2 linked regions of the Notamacropus eugenii genome follow. The protein of the gene in region 2 interacts with the protein of the main gene of each other region in a biochemical or structural test. Links are inferred from orthologs where the notes say so. Each region holds a gene or a part of one and is shown on either strand. Other genes may lie near its edges. The genes, in order: GDF5 and BMPR1B.

The links.
Region 1: the proteins of BMPR1B (region 2) and GDF5 interact in a biophysical measurement, tested with the Homo sapiens proteins (3 studies listed by BioGRID and IntAct, with this or other methods). The link is inferred for Notamacropus eugenii from reciprocal best matches to the Homo sapiens genes BMPR1B and GDF5.

What each region holds. Positions count from the first base shown.
Region 1 is NC_092872.1:419,486,087-419,494,338, reverse strand, and holds the start of GDF5 (growth/differentiation factor 5), read left to right. Parts: upstream 1-4,916; 5' UTR 4,917-5,420; coding exon 5,421-6,039; intron 6,040-7,511; coding exon 7,512-8,252. UniProt on the Homo sapiens protein: Growth factor involved in bone and cartilage formation. During cartilage development regulates differentiation of chondrogenic tissue through two pathways.
Region 2 is NC_092878.1:132,073,944-132,082,885, forward strand, and holds the start of BMPR1B (bone morphogenetic protein receptor type-1B), read left to right. Parts: upstream 1-5,163; 5' UTR 5,164-5,360; intron 5,361-7,475; exon of another isoform or gene 7,476-8,942. UniProt on the Homo sapiens protein: On ligand binding, forms a receptor complex consisting of two type II and two type I transmembrane serine/threonine kinases.

The sequences.
Region 1 (8,252 bases), on a different chromosome or scaffold from region 2:
TTATCCAAAAATCTGACAGGTATATTTTTCCATGCTCCCCTAATTTGCTTATGTTACCACCCTGTATGTCTAAATCATGTACCCATTTTGACATAATCTTAGTGTACAGTATGAGAACTTGGTCTATACCTAGTTTCTGCCAAACTACTTTCTAGTTTTCCCAGCAATTTCTGTCAAATGTTGAGTTTTTACCCCAAAAGCTTGGATCTTCGGATTTATCAAACACTAGGTTACTATGGCCAGTTACTATTATGTATTAGCCAATATCAGATTGTTTTGATGATTACCACTTTGTAATATAGTTTGAAATCTGAAACTGCTGGGTCACCTTCTTTCACACTTTTTTTCATTGATTCCCTTGATATTCTTGATCTTTTATTCTTCCAGATGAATTTTGTTACAATTTTTTTCTAGTTCTATAAAGTAATTCTTTGGTAGTTTGACTGATATTGACGATACCCCCTTGAACTTTCCTTGAGCTTTCCCACATGGCCTAGTCTTTGGCAGTTATCCTTTCTACTGGCCTTTCATTGGCCCTCCTCCTAAACCAGGGCAGCTAGGTGGTGCAGTGGATAGAGCACCAGTGCAGGAGTCAGGAGGACCTGAGTTCAAATCTCACCTCAGACACTTGACACTCACTAGCTGTGTGACCTTGGGCAAGTCACTTAACCCCATTTGCCTCATCCTGGATCATCTCCAGTCATCCTGATGAATATCTGGTCACTGGATTCAGATGGCTCTGGAGGAGAAGTGAGGCTGGTGACCTGCACAGCCCTCCCTCACTCAAAACAAAGTCAAGTGCAAGTCATGTCATCATTTCTCTGATGGCATGGTTTTTTTCAGCAGCGAGGGACAAACCACACACACCTGCCAAACCTCCAGTTCTCTGTTACCTCTAATGTAGCACAGCCCTTCATTGTTACCTCCCAATCACCCCAGCCACCTCTCATCCTTTATTCCTTCTAGACCCTTTCTTACAGTCATTCCCATCCAGATATTCCCACTTCTTGACCACTGTATATAAGGTTCATTTTGTCTCTATTAAAGTGCTCAGATTCCTTAAGAATCTGGCCAATGGCTCAGATTCAATCTAGTCTGCTTGTCAATACAAGTGTCACAATATTGTGGATTCTTAAAATCTTGCCTAACCTGATTGATGTTTTAATAAACCTTGTCTCAGACTGAAAGAAGTCTTGAGTTGAATTCATTCGAGGCAGGACCTATGTTGTTTGCCTTGAATTTTGGGGTCCCGGCACCTCTAGACCTCAACAGTATGGCACTGAATAAGTAAATTAACTTGAACAGAATTGTCATTTTTATTGTATTGGCTCAGCCTACTCATGAGCAATTAATATTTCTCCAGATGTTTAGATCTGCCTGTATTTTTGTAAAAAGTGTTTTGTAATTATGTTCATATAATCCCTGGGTTTGTCTTAGCAGGTAGACTCCCAAGTTTTTTATATCGTCTGTGGTTATTTTAAGTGGAATTTCTTTTTCTATCTCTTGCTGCTGGATTTTATTGGTAGTATAAAGAAATGATGATGATGATTGTGGGTTATATTCTGCAACTTTGCTGAAGTGATTGTAAACTCTTTAAGAGTTTCTGATGAACAAAGCTGTGTGCAAAGGGCTGACCAATCAGAAAATGTGGAATCTCATAGGATAGTGTTGGATTTGAAGTCGGAAAGATAGATTCAAATTTTGCCTCTGACATTAACTAGCTATGAGACCATGGACAAGACACTACCTCTCTGAGCCTCAGTTTTCTTGTCTTTAAATCGGAATGTTGTTGAGGCTCAAATAAGGTAATTTATGAAGGTGCTTTACAAACTTTAAAACACTATTTAAATGTCAATAATAATTACTAATAAATACTTGTTGATGGATTGATTGTCTGAATCTCTTAAAGGTCATGTTTTCTATTCCAGGACTGTCTAGCTTGTGTTGACCTAAGATAATTGACATGGGTAGAAGCACCTTAATGGAGTTAGAGTATAAATCAGGGGCTCTTGCTAGTTGACTACCCAGTTAGGCTTTTAATAACTTTTCAGTGATAGATTCACCTTATACCCTGACGAGTAGGAAAAGAACCAGGCTGGGGAGTCAGGTGACAGATTCTAATCTGTTTCTTTCCCCAACCTGCAGGATGAAGTTATAGCCTCTGTTTCTTCCTATGTAATATGGGCATGATAATCCCTGCCCTTCCTAATTCACGGGGATAATGAGATTCAAATGTAACAATCAATAGGTAATATTCTACAAAATGAAAAGTTTTCTACAAACATAAGGGTTTGCAAAAGAACAACATATTCACTGATGGTAGTTATCGAAGTGGAAGACAGCCTTAAATAGCAATAAAACTGAGGTTTAATACACTGGGAATGGCGGTACTGCTTTGTTAAAGCACCACCTTCTTTTCTTTTAACAAACAAATAATAAAAGCGAACACTTGCAAGTACAAACATTTGCAATCAGATTTTTGTGTTGTTTTGAGTAACTTTTTGAAAGATTTTATATTTTGTTTTGTTTGTGTGCTTTAAGACAAAATTTATTAATAGAAAAACCAAATGTAAGAACTTGCTATTATTTTCACGCCTTGAATTTCAGACAGAATGACTGCTTCCCAAGGCTCCCTTGCTCTGCCTAGAGTTAGACATTAATATTGTTGACATATAAGGGAGACATAGGGGGAGATGGGGGTGGAGTGGGGTGGGGGAACCAGGGCTCTGGGTCCCAGTAATTAAAGATGTCGGCACTGCCAGAGGCAGCATCTGGTTGCAATTACCAAAGGGGACAGAAGTGATTAGTCACCTTTTTAGTAAGAGCCAAATGTGTCCCTTGGGCATTTCCCTTGAGAGTGCCTCCCACCCTGTCCCCAAGCCTTTCCCTCTCTCCCCCTCCCCATGCCTGAAAGCCCCGTCCCCACTGATAATGTCCTATGTTTTGAGGGTGTTTAATATCTCCAGTATCCCAGTGTGTTGGAGGGAGTGAGAGGATAGTCTCCAAGGAGTCTCAGAGCAGAATACAGTCAACTATGAATTCTTCTACTGCTTTTTAAACTTGATTTTTCTACTATGGATTTCCTGCAGCTTTTGTCCTGAAGTCTCCCTTACCCTACAGTCTTGTTTCAAGGTTTTACAACTCATTTGTTCACCATTGGCCCCATTTGGCACCAAGGGCTAAGGCAAAAGTAACATCATAAGCATTAAACCCAGGTCTTCTGATGTTTGATTCCACAACTAGACCAGTGAGCACAAGATAGGTTTTGTTTTTCCTTAAGATTTAATTGAAGCTTGGGTCATTGCAATGGCAAAGGCAGTGGAAGACTCATTTCTCCAAGGATAACTTGAAGTTGGGACAGCATGAGTAAAATTGTTCTTTTCTTTCCTAGACTTACCATAGCTTCTCCTCTGTCCAAAAGGCAAGAAACTTGAGCTAAAACTGACTCTGGATAGTTTTCTAAGATCAATGAATTGCTAAACTAGCAATCTCTTGTTTGGAACTGTTGGCTGAGTTTGGGGCACCTGGTAAAGATAGAGCTCTTTGATGTCTACTGTCCCATTAATCCTGGAACAATGAAGACAATATGCTTTATAGTTGTAGGCTCCCAGATCTCAGCAGCTTGAAGGATTTGGATAAGAGCTATTGTAATGTGACAAATCCTGTACACCCACACCTGCAGCTAGGTGGTGTCAGTGGTTAGAGTGATGGGTCTGAAGTCAGGAAGACCAAGTTCAAATTCAGCGTCAGACACTGACTGCTTGGGTGACCCTGGACCAGTCACTTAACCGCTACCTGTATCATTTTCCCCATCTGTAAGATGGAGATAATAATAGCACCTACCCCTTAAGATTGTGAAGATAAGGTGAGCGGATGTTTCTAAAGGGTGCTTTGCAAACCTTAGAGAGCCATATAAATGCATTTTATCATCATTATTATTATTATTGCACCTGGACTAAAATATCTTCTTCATTAAGATTCCCACCCCTGCCAGACTGCAATGTCCTACCTAGTATCGACCTCAGCTTCCACAAAAGTGCCTGGCTTTCGATTTGACATTTTAAGAAACACCTGAATTTCCCCCATGTATGTCTCAAGAATGAGGGGCACCTTGAATTATGTGGTGAGTTTCCCTTGTCCTGCAGGGGTCACTGCTGCTCCAGGACTGGGTAAATCCCGTCCCTAATGAAGGGCTATCCAGTCTGCTAACTGGTAGGAACTTGGGAGCAGCCTATGCAAACCATCTCCACCAACGTCCCCTGCGGGAGTGGGGTCCGAAAGGGGTGGCATACACAGGGTGACATTCTGGGGCCCAGGCATCCTCTGAGCGTTTTCTTGTGGGATAGAAGAAGGCATATCGGTCTCCAGGTCATCTCAAGTTTATTAAAATAAAAGGAGCTGTTGGTAAATACTACTGACTGTTACGTGCCCCCTCCGTTAGGCCCCAGACTCAGAGGCTGAGTAGTAACTACTTTAAAAACACTCCAAGGACTTGACTTTGAAAACCTAGACCCGCCTCCCCCAATCCACCCCCCCCCAACCCCCCTGCCCCGCACTAGCCTGCCGCCCCCTCCCCCTTGGTGGTGTGCTTTAAGAACCGTGAATTGCTTTCTCCTCTGGATGGGGCTGGCTCTGCACACCCCAGGTGGAGGCCCCGTGCTCCTCCCAAGGCTCCAGGGCAGTCCCTGGGCATGAGGGTCCCACTGAACCGCCCACCCCCACCCCCATCCCCGGTGTGAGTCACCGTCCGTGAAAAGGCAGAGACGACTTTTTTTTTTCTTTCACATAAATATATCGTACTTAAATTAGTTTAGACAGCATGACATCAGAGAGTAATTAAATTGGTTTTTGTTGGAATTCCGTTTCCAATTCCTGAGTTCAGGTTTGTAAAAGATTTTTTTTTCACTGAGCACCTGCAAGCGGGTGTGTGTGTGTGTGTGTGTGTGTGTGTGTGTGTGTGTGTGTGTGTGTGTGTGTGTGTGTGAAATATTTTCACTGGAAAGGATTCAAAACTTAAAAAAAAAAAAAAACTGGAGCCCAGAGGCAGCATTACGCCATTCTTCCTTCTTGGAAAAAACCCTCAGACTTAAAACAAGCCTCCTTCAAACTCTCCGTCAGTCCTGCAGGAGAAAAGGGGCGGTCGGCTTTCTGCTTTCAAGAACGAGTTATTTTCAGCTGCTGACTGAAGACGGGCGCACGTCTGGATACAAGAGCGTTTCCACTATGGGACTGGATACAGACGCGCAAGAGGCAGATTTAAAGAGTCTCAGACTGAGGAGAAAGCCCTTGCCGCTGCCCTTGCTGCCGCTGCCGCTGCCGCCCTTGCCTTCCAGGTTTCGTTCCTTTCATGGTTTCTCCTGCCAAACCAGAGATACCTTCGCCGCTGTTCTCTTTGGTGCCAATCAGCGGCAGGTTAGAGGATGAGACTCCCAAGACTCCTCGCTTTCTTGCTCTGGCACCTGACTTGGTTGGACCTAGATCTTATCAGCACTGTTCTGAGTGCCCCAGACCTGGCACAGAGAAGCTCAGGGTCCAGACCGGGATTGGCCAAGGCAGAAGCCAAGGAGCGTTCCCCCCCGGCCAGAGGCAGCTTCAGGCCGGGGGGACATGGCATCAGTGGGGCAGCCACTAATGCCAGGGCAAAGGGCAGCGCCAGCCAAGCTGGAGGCCTACTACCCAAGAAGGATCAGCCCAAAAAGATGCCCTCGAGATCCGGAGGTCCTGAGCCCAAGCCAGAATTCCCCCATGCAAGGCAGTTGGGAGCCCGGACTGTGACCCCCAAAGGGCAGCTCCCTGGTGCCAAGGTTCCTCCAAAGGGCGGCCCCAGTTCCAGTACTTTCCTACTGAAAAAGGCCAAGGAGCCAGGGCCCCCAAGCGAGCCCAAGGAACCATTCCGACCACCCCCAGTCACGCCCCATGAGTACATGCTCTCCCTGTACAGGACGCTATCGGATGCTGATAGGAAGGGAGTCAATGGCAGCGTGAAGCTGGAGGCTGGGCTGGCCAACACCATCACCAGCTTCATAGACAAAGGGCAAGGTGAGAGGCAATGCTAACCCCAGGTCAAGGAGGGATGTCCAGGGGAGTGTGTTTATCTCCCAGCTACCAGTTACACATGCCAGAGGTTACCTCTTGTATTATTGTGCATCTGGTTGTGTGGGCTACATGCACTAGGACATCGAATTGTAGGACATCAGAGCAGGAAGGGACCTTAAGGTTCATCCAGTGCAGGTCCATGAGTTTGCAGAGGAGAAAACTGAGGTTCAGACAGGGCAAGAGACTTTCTGAAGGTCATAGTGCATTGGTTGCATGAGCTGGGATGAAAACCTTGGTATCCTGTTTCTCAGTTCCTTGTTCTTTATTTGCATGGACTCTCCTCCCTTAGTTCTAGATGAAGCTAGATCAGAGGTGAGCGTTGGGAATGTTGAGGGGAACAAGGGATTCATTGCAGAGGAGATGGAATTTCAGCTGGGGGATGGTGTGGGAGAAGAGCACTGTCAATGAGTCCTCCTGTCCTAAACAAAGCTAAATGGTTTGGTACTTTCATACATAACCCAGGAGAACTTAGGTTCTCCTTATTTTTTGTAACTGTGGTGCTCAAATTCTTCTGTTTCAATCTGACCGCTTAACTCTCTTGTGATCTTATATAAGGGACTTACTTTTTTGAGTCTTAATTTGTCCCTATATAAAAAAATAAGGAGGTTGTACTAGAAGATTTCTAAGGTCCCTTCCACCTATGAGTTTCTAAAATTCTATGATTCTTAGAACTTCTACTTGAGTGCCTTCTGGGAGGGAGTTTAAGGAAGGGGGAGAACATATTCATTAAACATTTGATGTTGGGGGAGGGGGTGAGACTGAGCCAGGCTCAGTGGCAGCAAGCCTGGTTGGGGTGGGGGAGGTAGGCTGGCTCTGTGCCCAGTTAGGGAAAGCTGTAATTCCTTCAGGACTCATAAAGTAAGTCCCCATGTCCCCTAGCACTGAAGTTGCTCAGGGAGGGGAGATGAGGAGTTTAAAAGTCCAATTAGTCACCTTCTAGGCCAACATGTGAATACTCCCTGGTGGCAAATTGGTGTTTAGGTAGGATAACATATTCTGACATATACTGAAGCTGTGTCATATAAGAACATCCTTTGAATGATCATCTATAGAGATATATTCACCTACCCAATGAGTAAAACACATACAGTTCACACACACAGAACATGGGCTTCAACATAGTTATACATTCTCTCTGTCTCTTTCTCCCATGATACACACGTACCCTGAGTATAGAGGACATCAGAGGACATCACACACTTGCTTGCATGTTTATGCCCACAATGGATTTGGTAATGTACTTGTTGTTTAGTAAGTTCTCTTCATTTGTACACTCTCAGAATAGAATGTGGGGTCCCAGCTTCTATCCTAGTGGAGAAAATGTTAAGTAGTTTTCTTAGATTCAGTAGCTTCTTCCTGTACATTACAGAGACTCTGCAGGAGCATCAAGAATGATCCTATTTCTTTCTCTCTAGATGACAGAGGTCCTGCAGTCAGGAAGCAAAAATATGTATTTGACATCAGTGCTCTGGAAAAAGATGGGTTGTTGGGAGCTGAGTTACGGATCCTGCGGAAAAAGCCCTCAGATGGGTCAAAGCCATCTGTCCCTGGGCGGCCAGCCCAGTTGAAGTTGTCTAGCTGTCCCAGTGGCCGGCAACCAGGCATCTTGCTTGATGTACGTTCTGTACCAGGTCTGGATAGCCCCCGTTGGGAAGTGTTTGACATCTGGAAGCTCTTCCGAAATTTTAAGAACTCAGCTCAGCTGTGTTTGGAGCTGGAGGCCTGGGATCGAGGTCGTGTCATGGACCTACGTGGTGTGGGTTTTGACCGAATTGCTCGTCAGGTCCATGAGAAGGCCTTATTTCTGGTGTTTGGCCGCACTAAGAAACGTGATCTGTTTTTTAATGAAATTAAGGCTCGTTCTGGCCAAGATGATAAGACTGTGTATGAGTACCTATTCAGTCAGCGTCGGAAACGGCGGGCCCCACTCACAACACGTCAGGGCAAGCGACCCAGCAAGAATCCCAAGGCCCGTTGCAGTCGCAAGGCACTGCATGTTAACTTCAAGGACATGGGCTGGGATGACTGGATCATTGCACCCTTGGAATATGAGGCCTTCCACTGTGAAGGACTCTGTGAGTTTCCCCTTCGATCTCACCTGGAGCCCACCAACCATGCTGTCATCCAGACTCTCATGAACTCCATGGATCCAGAAT
Region 2 (8,942 bases):
GAGCTATGTGTATGTGCATCTTTCTACTCCGCCATCTTGGCTCCGCCCTCCAGGATAAGGGAAATCTGAGCAAGATAGAAGGAGCCAGTTGGGAGGGAGAGACTGAAGATGAATGAGGGAACAAAAGGTGACTCCAAATCTAGCATTGTAATGAAGACAAAGGATAAAAGTTAATTTAACACTCCATCTCTCAGCTCCCTCCCTCCTCATCTCTACCTACTAGTTTCTCTGGTTTTCTTTAAGTTCCAACTAAAAATCCTTCTACAGGAAGCTTTTCCCAATCCCTCTTCATTCTAGTACCTTCTTTTTTAAAATTAGTTCCTATTCATGCTGCCTATAGCTTATTTGTCCATATTTGTTAGATTATGAGCTCCCTGAGAGCAGGGACCATTCTCTTTTTTTGTCTCTTTGTTTTTAGGTGACAATCCTCATTGCTTTGCCATGCCCAGCACACAGTAAACACTTAAAAGATTATTGACTGAAATATTTATTGTGTTACCTTACTAAAGTGGTATTCAGTAAGAAGTGCAGAATATTTTAAAAGAGATATAAATTTTTATTCCCTTTGTTTAAAGAGCACTAATTCCCATTTAGCTAATAATGCTACCTAGATTTGGACCCTGCCTTAGATAAATATCTAAGAATGACTTGAAATCTATGAAAATAATTGTTTTAGGTGGGGACTTAGTAGTTTGTTTTCAGAAATAGTCTTAGTGCAGTTTTCAGTTGCACTAAGACTTTTGGGACACTACATAGAATAAGCGCTCTATAATTCTGTTTATGCTCAGTTATGCTACTTTTACTATGGTTAGCAAACTCCTTCTTCATGACCAGAAGCTTACTCTCAACCACAATATAAGTTAGGATAAATTCTAAAGGAGAAAATCCAAGTTAATGAATTCTCATTAGAATATAAATTCCTTGTGTATGGGGGGATGGGATGGGGAGGCAGGGATTGCATTTTTCCCTTTCTTTATATTCTTAGTACTTTGCCCAAGGCTGCAAACAATATATAAATAAATGTTCTAATTTAGGTATCAATGTGCAACGTCATCTCAGAAACAGGGCTTCAAGAATTCCGGTTGTGTGACCACTACTATGTGTTGTGATGTTTATTTCCTGAACTTGGACTTGATTGAAGGCTGCAATCCAAGCTATCTAAGTGATTGAAATATGTCAGTTGCCTCCAACACTATTTTAGTGATAGGTGGTCAAGGATGGAGTAGGTTGCTGATATTTTAAATCACAGGTTCAAAGGCTGGAGAGGGGACTTTGAGATCGTCTTGTCAAACCTTTTCATTTTTTTAGACATGGCAACAAGTCTAGGAAAACAAGGTGAATTTTATAGGCAAACTCACATTGCAGCTAGGGGGTGAAGCCAAGATTAAGCACCCTAGTCTGGCCACCCTTTCCAATATTGATTATACATTCCAATATTGATTATACATTCACATACTCATACACATACTCATTCATGGGAATGAGTGATAATACTCCCTACTCCCTTTTGCCACTTCCAAGATCTCTTTCTTCTAATACCTCAGTAATCTCTTCTCCTCTGAAGTTCATCCAATGCATATTTCTTATTCAAATAAAATTTTGTTAGGTGTTATCTACTACCACTAGGACACTCTTTTCCTCCTCAATGAGTTTAGGGTCTGGCTCACAGTCTTTCCATTCTAGGTAGCTTGCCCTTTCCCCACCATACAGCTTAGGAGACTTCAAAATACATACTGATATTCCCTCACACACTAAATTCTTAGTTCTCAGCAACAACTATGATTTACAGCTTTGACAAGTGACTTACATATATTATACTTTATCCTCACAACAACCCTGGGGATTATAGATGTGGAAACTGCATTTCCTCAATTTCCTCATTTCCTATGACCTATTCTTCCACTTGTAACTCCTTCCTCTCTTAACTCTACACAAAGATGGCCATACCCTTGCTGAAGGGCATCATTAGCCTCCCAGTCCTGAGGGGGATCTAAACTCAAATCACCCAGTCAAATTACTTTGGCTGTACTTTTTCTCGAATTATAGCATCTAAAAACTCCTCCCCCTACTTGGAAGTTTGGATATCGACTAGCCCACTAATTCTTCATGCAAACTGAATGAGAATACTGAGTATTTTCTAAATTTAAAAAGTCCTTATTACTTTATTCATTGTATTTGGAGTTTTTCAGTTTTTTCATGGACAAAAAAAAATTGATTCAGCCATGATTCAACCTTATATATTGTTCACCTGCTACTTTTACAATACAATCTTGGATAGTAAATTTTGGTGTATACTGTCTTAAATTTCTATTGTACCGGGAGGAGACATCATCAAGAAAATCTTGGAGGAAAATCTGATGGCTCAGAGTGAGTATCAATAGCAATTGTTTCCGTTTTTTGTTTTGTTTTGTTTTGGTTTTTTGGCCAGAAACCCTGAGGGTCTTCTCCCCCCCAACCCCCCATCGCCATTTTTTTTTTTTTACTAGTTAAAAAAGGCCATTCTTTGCCTCATTTCTTACCTAGTCTTAATCACTGAATGGCCTTTGCCTCAGGCTAACTGAGACCTTAGCTTTAGAAAGGCCAAGGTCTCCCACTGTATCCTGGGCCATCTCCAGTCATTCTAATCTACATCTTGCTCCTAGACTCGGATGTCTCAGTAGGAAAGAGTGATGCTTGCACAGCCCTTGCTTGCTTAAATCCAATTCACCTGCAAATCTTGATTATCACTCTCCTGATGACATGGTCCTCTTTCAGAACAAAGTACAAACAACAATAACTCTTAATTAAGTGATTTCTATTGGTCCATATAATCTGTAGACATACTTGACTTGTATTTCCTTTAGCACCTGCTTAGCTCTGTGCTTTGCTTAGTGAATGTGTGGTCAGGTTGTGGTTGTTTCTCTGGGGTCCCCAATATACTGGGGGCCAATAAAAGCAGATGCAAGTTTGGGAAGTAGGTCCTGTGCTGGGCTACATTGATTTGACAACCTATATTTTCATCTATGACATTCTTATTTTCTTGAGCTAATCCATAAAAATGCCTTTAACTTGTTTTCCTTGCTTAAATTCTTTGTTCCTAATTCCAGTGATGGAAATTATATATACTTCCACCTATCTCATACATAGATATCCTTTTATAAGAGTAGTAAAGAAATAGGTAGAAAAGAAATAACCAAAGGTGACAAATCATTTTAGAAGAAAAAAAAGTCATCATGCGTTCGAAAGAAGAAATATATATAATAATTAATTTTTGCCAGCTTTGTCAATTTTTTGTTCTACCTTTTTTTCTGGGTGGGATTTAGAAATTATGTTTGTGGATCCATAAAGATGGCTCAGAAATATGACTCAGATTATGTATGGTCACCCTCAAAAACTGAAACTTAAAATTAAATTTTGCTAAATGAGTTTACTTATATTATCTTAAAGATAATGACAATACATAGTAAGTTAATTTCTGAAGATATATAATCCAGAAGTTAATTAATGAAGATGTGCCCATGTTAATTCTGAAGGTATCTAAATTCATATTGATAAAAATTATATCAATATGAATAAAATTAGGCATTTGTAGCATCTCTTCCTTTTCACCATTTCCCCCCATGATTTTGTACAGTCAAGATTCATAAAGTTTGCTCACTGTGGCATGAAGGTAAGCCTATGTGGTCTTTTTCTCCAAAGAGAGGTGGGGGACTATATGTACAGAAAGTTGCATACCCTGTGGTCTTGATATGATTGGTTTTGCTTACTGCTTTCTTTGTTACAAAGGAGGTTTCTATGGCTGGGGACATATTCAGAGAAGGCTGTAAAGGGAAAAAACCCAAACCCAAATCCAAATATTTACTAAATAAATAAACATGATAAGACCATAGGAATGCAAGATCTGGCAGGTCACACCAGGCTGTAAGGACCATTGTTTGAAGACCAATGAAGTTCTAAGCTCATTACCAAATGGTTATTCATCAAGCAATGAATTTTTTTGTTGCGCTTTGTTTTTTACCTACAGTACCCGTGTCAATGCCCAGGACATTTAAATTACGTCTTGAAATACTGTTTCAACTGAGTTTCTGCATTAGTTTAACTCTCTGGAGATAGTGGATAGGACTTAAAATTTGGAATTCCCAAGTTCTTTCTCTGTATGTTCAACATTCCAAAGAAAGCCATGGCTTTTTGATTTAAAATAAAATGGCAAGGACAGCAGGAAAAGGGGCAATCAGTTCTAAGGACGGTGCTTTGGGAGTCATCGGTGGGAGTCGTATGGTAAGGTAGAGTCAAGATTCAGTCAATGCCAGACTTTATCTGTTTGGAATATATGCATACAGGAGTAAGTTTAGAAAAAAGTTAAAAATGAATGAAGGCAGAAAAAGAAAATGAGCAAGACTTGGCTCCAGTTATATTTCAGTTATAAGCAGACAGATCTCAGTGTGAGGTAGAAAGACCTGGAACCATAGAACTCCCTCTAGCCTTGTTCTGACTAGTATTCTAGGCAGGCAACATTCAGTTACCACACTCATGCTACTAGCCAAGCCACACAAGTATGAAATGAGTAGCAAAGGTTCCAAAATAAATAAAATACCCCAATGGTTATAACTTCATCTCCGAATACATCAGAAAAATTCTCTGCTACCCTTTGGTGGCTTCAGACAGCTTATGAAAATATAAATGCTTTAACTTGAAGGAGGAAAAAAATCTCCCAAATTCTAGTCCTTTAATTACTCATATTGCTAAGTGAGGGGATCATATCTTTTATGAATTCCATAAAGTTTTAGCAGGGTGTTAATATATGGGAAATAATCACTTTCATGGATGGGAAAAAGATTCTTTCTCTCCTCTCCCCAAATATTTCTTTCCAAACCTTCCTAAATCTTTTTTTTGGGGGGGGGAGCCTCTAAAATAAGTGAAACCTACATGATTGCAGTAGGATGTGTAAGGGGGAGGAGAGCAGATGCTACAAATGCTAGTACCCTGAGGGCAGGGACTGTTTAACTGTTTAATTGTCGTTACATTAGCTCCATTATGGCATGCGGTTAGGCGCTTAATAAATGTTTATTGCCTGATGAGCCCCGTTCTCCACGTACATCTTCCGTCCCCAAAGCAGAAGCGTGTCCTTTTAGTGCATATCAAAATGGGTTAGACACATAATCCTGCTGCTAAGCATTTGGCTCTCACCGTTCCATCACTAGTGGGAGCTGGAGAGGGCAAGGCGCCCAGGAGCCAGTGTGTGCAGGAGAACGCCAGCGGCTGCGGCTCTCACCGCGGCACCCACGGACGGAACGTGGCCGTGTGGTCCGGACGCGGGGGGCAGCGGCAGCCCGGCTCAGCCCGCGGGCACTGCCCTCACCTTCGAGTCCGAGCGCAGCCCGGTGAGTTGGGAACATTGCGAAGTTCCCGTGCTTGACGCTAGTCCGAGCCAGGGTTCTGCCCCGGGCGGGAGGGTTCTCGTAGATGCCCGCTGGGGCAGAGCGCAGGGCTCGGGGTGCCCCTTGGAGAAAGAAGTCGGGGCTCGGCGGATGCCCGGAGCGGGGGCGCTGCGGGGGTGGGCTTCCCGCGGAGAGGGGCAGCTACCTTTCTAAGAGAGTTTGTTTGACATGGCGGGCAAGGTCGTTTAACTTTTTTGGGGGGGAAGATGTGTGCTTTCTCCCCCTCTTACCCCCCCCCCACCCCATCCCAGCCGGGGAGACGGGCTCCACGAGGAGGAGGGGTGTGTAGGAGAGGAGGGAGGGAGAAGGGGCAGACACTTTTCGTCCAGTCTGTGAGTGGGTTTGGGGAGACCTCCCATCGCCACGGGGCTGCGGGAGCCTTGGAAAGACTGGGTCCACTTTGGGGGGTCGGGAGGACGTGGAGGGGATCTGGACTCTGCAAAAAGTCACCTGTGTGTCTGTCTCAAAGCCAGAGCCCCCCAATAATGCGGTGGCATCTTTACACCCAGACCCCCACCGGTGTGCCCTAGTGGGCGTGTGGTTCTGCTTCTGGTTGGGGCAGGGCTCTTTCCTCCCTGGCCCCGTAAGGAGATACATTCAGTTTCTCCGATGTATCAATTGCTAGTTGGTGCTAATAAGGCAGTTGTCTTTGCCCCTCCCTGGATACAGTAGCCACAGCTTGCATGGAAAACTTTTTAAAAACACCAAGCCAGTTAGAAAACAGGGGGAGAATTTTTCCCTGCGATCAGTTGTATTTGGGGGTCGCATGAAGGTGAGGTCAGCCCCCCACGGAGAAGAAGCAGGAGGGTGGTGATCTCAGATAAAGTCACAGGACCGAAAAGCCTCTGTAGCATAGGGGAGAGAGAGCCAACTGTTAAAAAACAAAAAGTCACAGTACCGCTCCAAAAAAACTTGTAAAAAAGAAGAAGGCCCAGTTAGAGATGGAAACGAGAAAAAGCCTCAAAGGACATTTAGGAAAAATTCTTTTAGAAATCTCTTTGTTGTCTTAAAATGGATAACAATCTGTTTCTTTTTACTTCCATGTATCTTGAACTTCTCCAGGGAGCAATCGTAACCATTTCTTGGGGGTGAGAGTGAGGGGTCATCCCCATCAAATAGAACACAGGTACTTTAGAAAATATCTCGACTTATTTAGACTTTGCGGTTTGTTTCTAACTTCTTTACTCTCCAATGATGGGAATTATTTTGGAATGGAAAGAAAATAGAAAAAGATGTAACAGTAATTTAAAAAGAGGAAACATCCTAGTGTTTGGGGAAACAATTTTTAGATCAGTGTATAATCCAAAAAGACTGTATGTTGTAGGTAGCTCTGTGTGTGTGTGTGTGTGTGTGTGTGTGTGTGTGTACACATACATTTATTGGAAACAGCCGTTTTAAAAATGTTTTTGATATCCAGACATAATGTAGCTTTGTGGGATTTTTTTTACATGACAAACACTGTCTTGGCTGCCAGAACTTTCAAACACTGTCATTTGTCTAATTTGCTTTATCATTTAGAAAATGGGCTCCTTTTGGTTGAGTGGATTTCATTACTTTGATTGTATTACTTCCAGGCTACTGTGGGTTTCTTTTTTTTTGGGGGGGGGGGACTAATTTGTGATTGAAAATCAAAATGTTAATTTTTGCTGTTTAAGAGATGATTATATTATGTTAATGAATCATCACTTGTGGGGGGAGTTGCCATCTGTGTTTTTCAGGTGATGCTATGGCAAGTGGAATAGATTTAATAAATATTGTTGACCTGTTGAGTGGAACCACCAGTATTTTGTGAATTTCTTTTACTATTAGTCTGTGACTCTAGTATTTATAGATTTGTAAATGCAAAATAATTGCATACTTCTCTGAAAAGTTCCTTCAAGTAAAGAGTATTTGTTAAAAATTATTTGTTAATTCAAAGATCTCATAAAGTTATTTTCACATAAAAAATTTAATATATTTACGTCTGCTGATGGAGACGTGTGCTATGAATAATGCCAGTGATATTTCTCTGTCCCCTTGTATCCACTCCCCCTAACAGATTTACCTTCCTAATTTTTTTTTTTTTTTTTTTTTGGAGAGAGGGGTATTAAGATTAGTTGTTCTTTCCTGAGCCCTCATTAGGTTCATGGTAGGAGGAGCTGATTGATTGGTCATCTGTAGGTTGTTGGAAATTACTTTGATATTCAAAAAGTCTATAATCAGAAATTGTATACATGAGACATACTTTAAATTGAACTATATGGTAGGATAGTTGTGATTTTTATCTAAATTTGGAATACCAGATGGGAGACACTGATGAATTGCTATTAGATCAGAAGTACTTTTTGTATAATGGCAATTATTGATTAAATGTGAAAGACTAAAATTTGTAATATAACGTTCTCTTTTACTTGGTTAGACATTAATTGAAATAGAGCCTATAGACTCCTATTTCCTTACAGCTGATATTCAGAAAGAGCAAAGCATTTCAAGATGCTTCTATGGCAAATAATTCTTAAGATGCTTTTCCATTTTAGCTTTCGTGTAAATAGGAGTGAATGTATCTGGTTATAAAGTAGAAGCAGATATAGGTACAGCTAATCTTTTTTCATCTAATGCAGAACAATAAAAACCATGTGTTGAATTATCCCTGGAGAAGTGCTGATAATCATATATTATTCCTAAGCATGAAACAATCTTTATTTTTTAGTTAACTATCAAGAAAAATGAGTAAAGCCCATAAGTCACTGAAGCTCCAAGAACAGTCTTTAAAACTTTTATTCATTTTGATGGGAATCCTTTATAAATGCTCTGTGTAATCCAATAAATAGCTTCTTAAAGAGAGTTCACTGGCATAATTTACCTTTTCCTAGGAGACTTCTCAAATGCCCTCAGAGCCTGTTTGCTCCTCCTAGGGTGCCAAAGTGCTGTGCTTTGAGTTCTTATGTCTAGTTTTATAGTTTTTCTGCTGGTTTTTTTATTGGCACTGTTAGCTCACTGATACTTTTAATTTGTTGAGTCTAATCTGCTATGTGCTGAGAAACCAGATAACCAAACTTCTTAGAATCATAATGAGTAAATAGTCTACAAGGGGCCTATTCTAGGAAGTAAAATAATAGATGTTCCAACAGCTGTTTTCACTGCCCAGATGCCTTTTTCAATTCCAATTTATAAGTTCACAAAAACTTGATAGCTGAGGTTACCAAAAGTATGGCTTCTGGTTGAGGGAGATAGTGTTATATTCCAGGCCTTATTTTTGGTTAATATTAGAGAGATATCAATAGATAAATATATTTATTGAATGTCTTTTTTTGTAGAATATTGTTCTGAGAGAAGAGTTCCATTTTTGCATACGTATGAGTGACCAGACGATTGACCAGCCATGCAGAAAAGAAAGGATATGAGAAAATTTGAAAAGGATAAATGAATAGGAATTTGTGAATTATTGGATATGACATATAAGGGAGTTGGGGGAGACAAAGGTAAATTACAGGTTTTGAGATTGGTGGACTGTGGGAATTTTGAAGGTAATCTTTCTAAGGATGG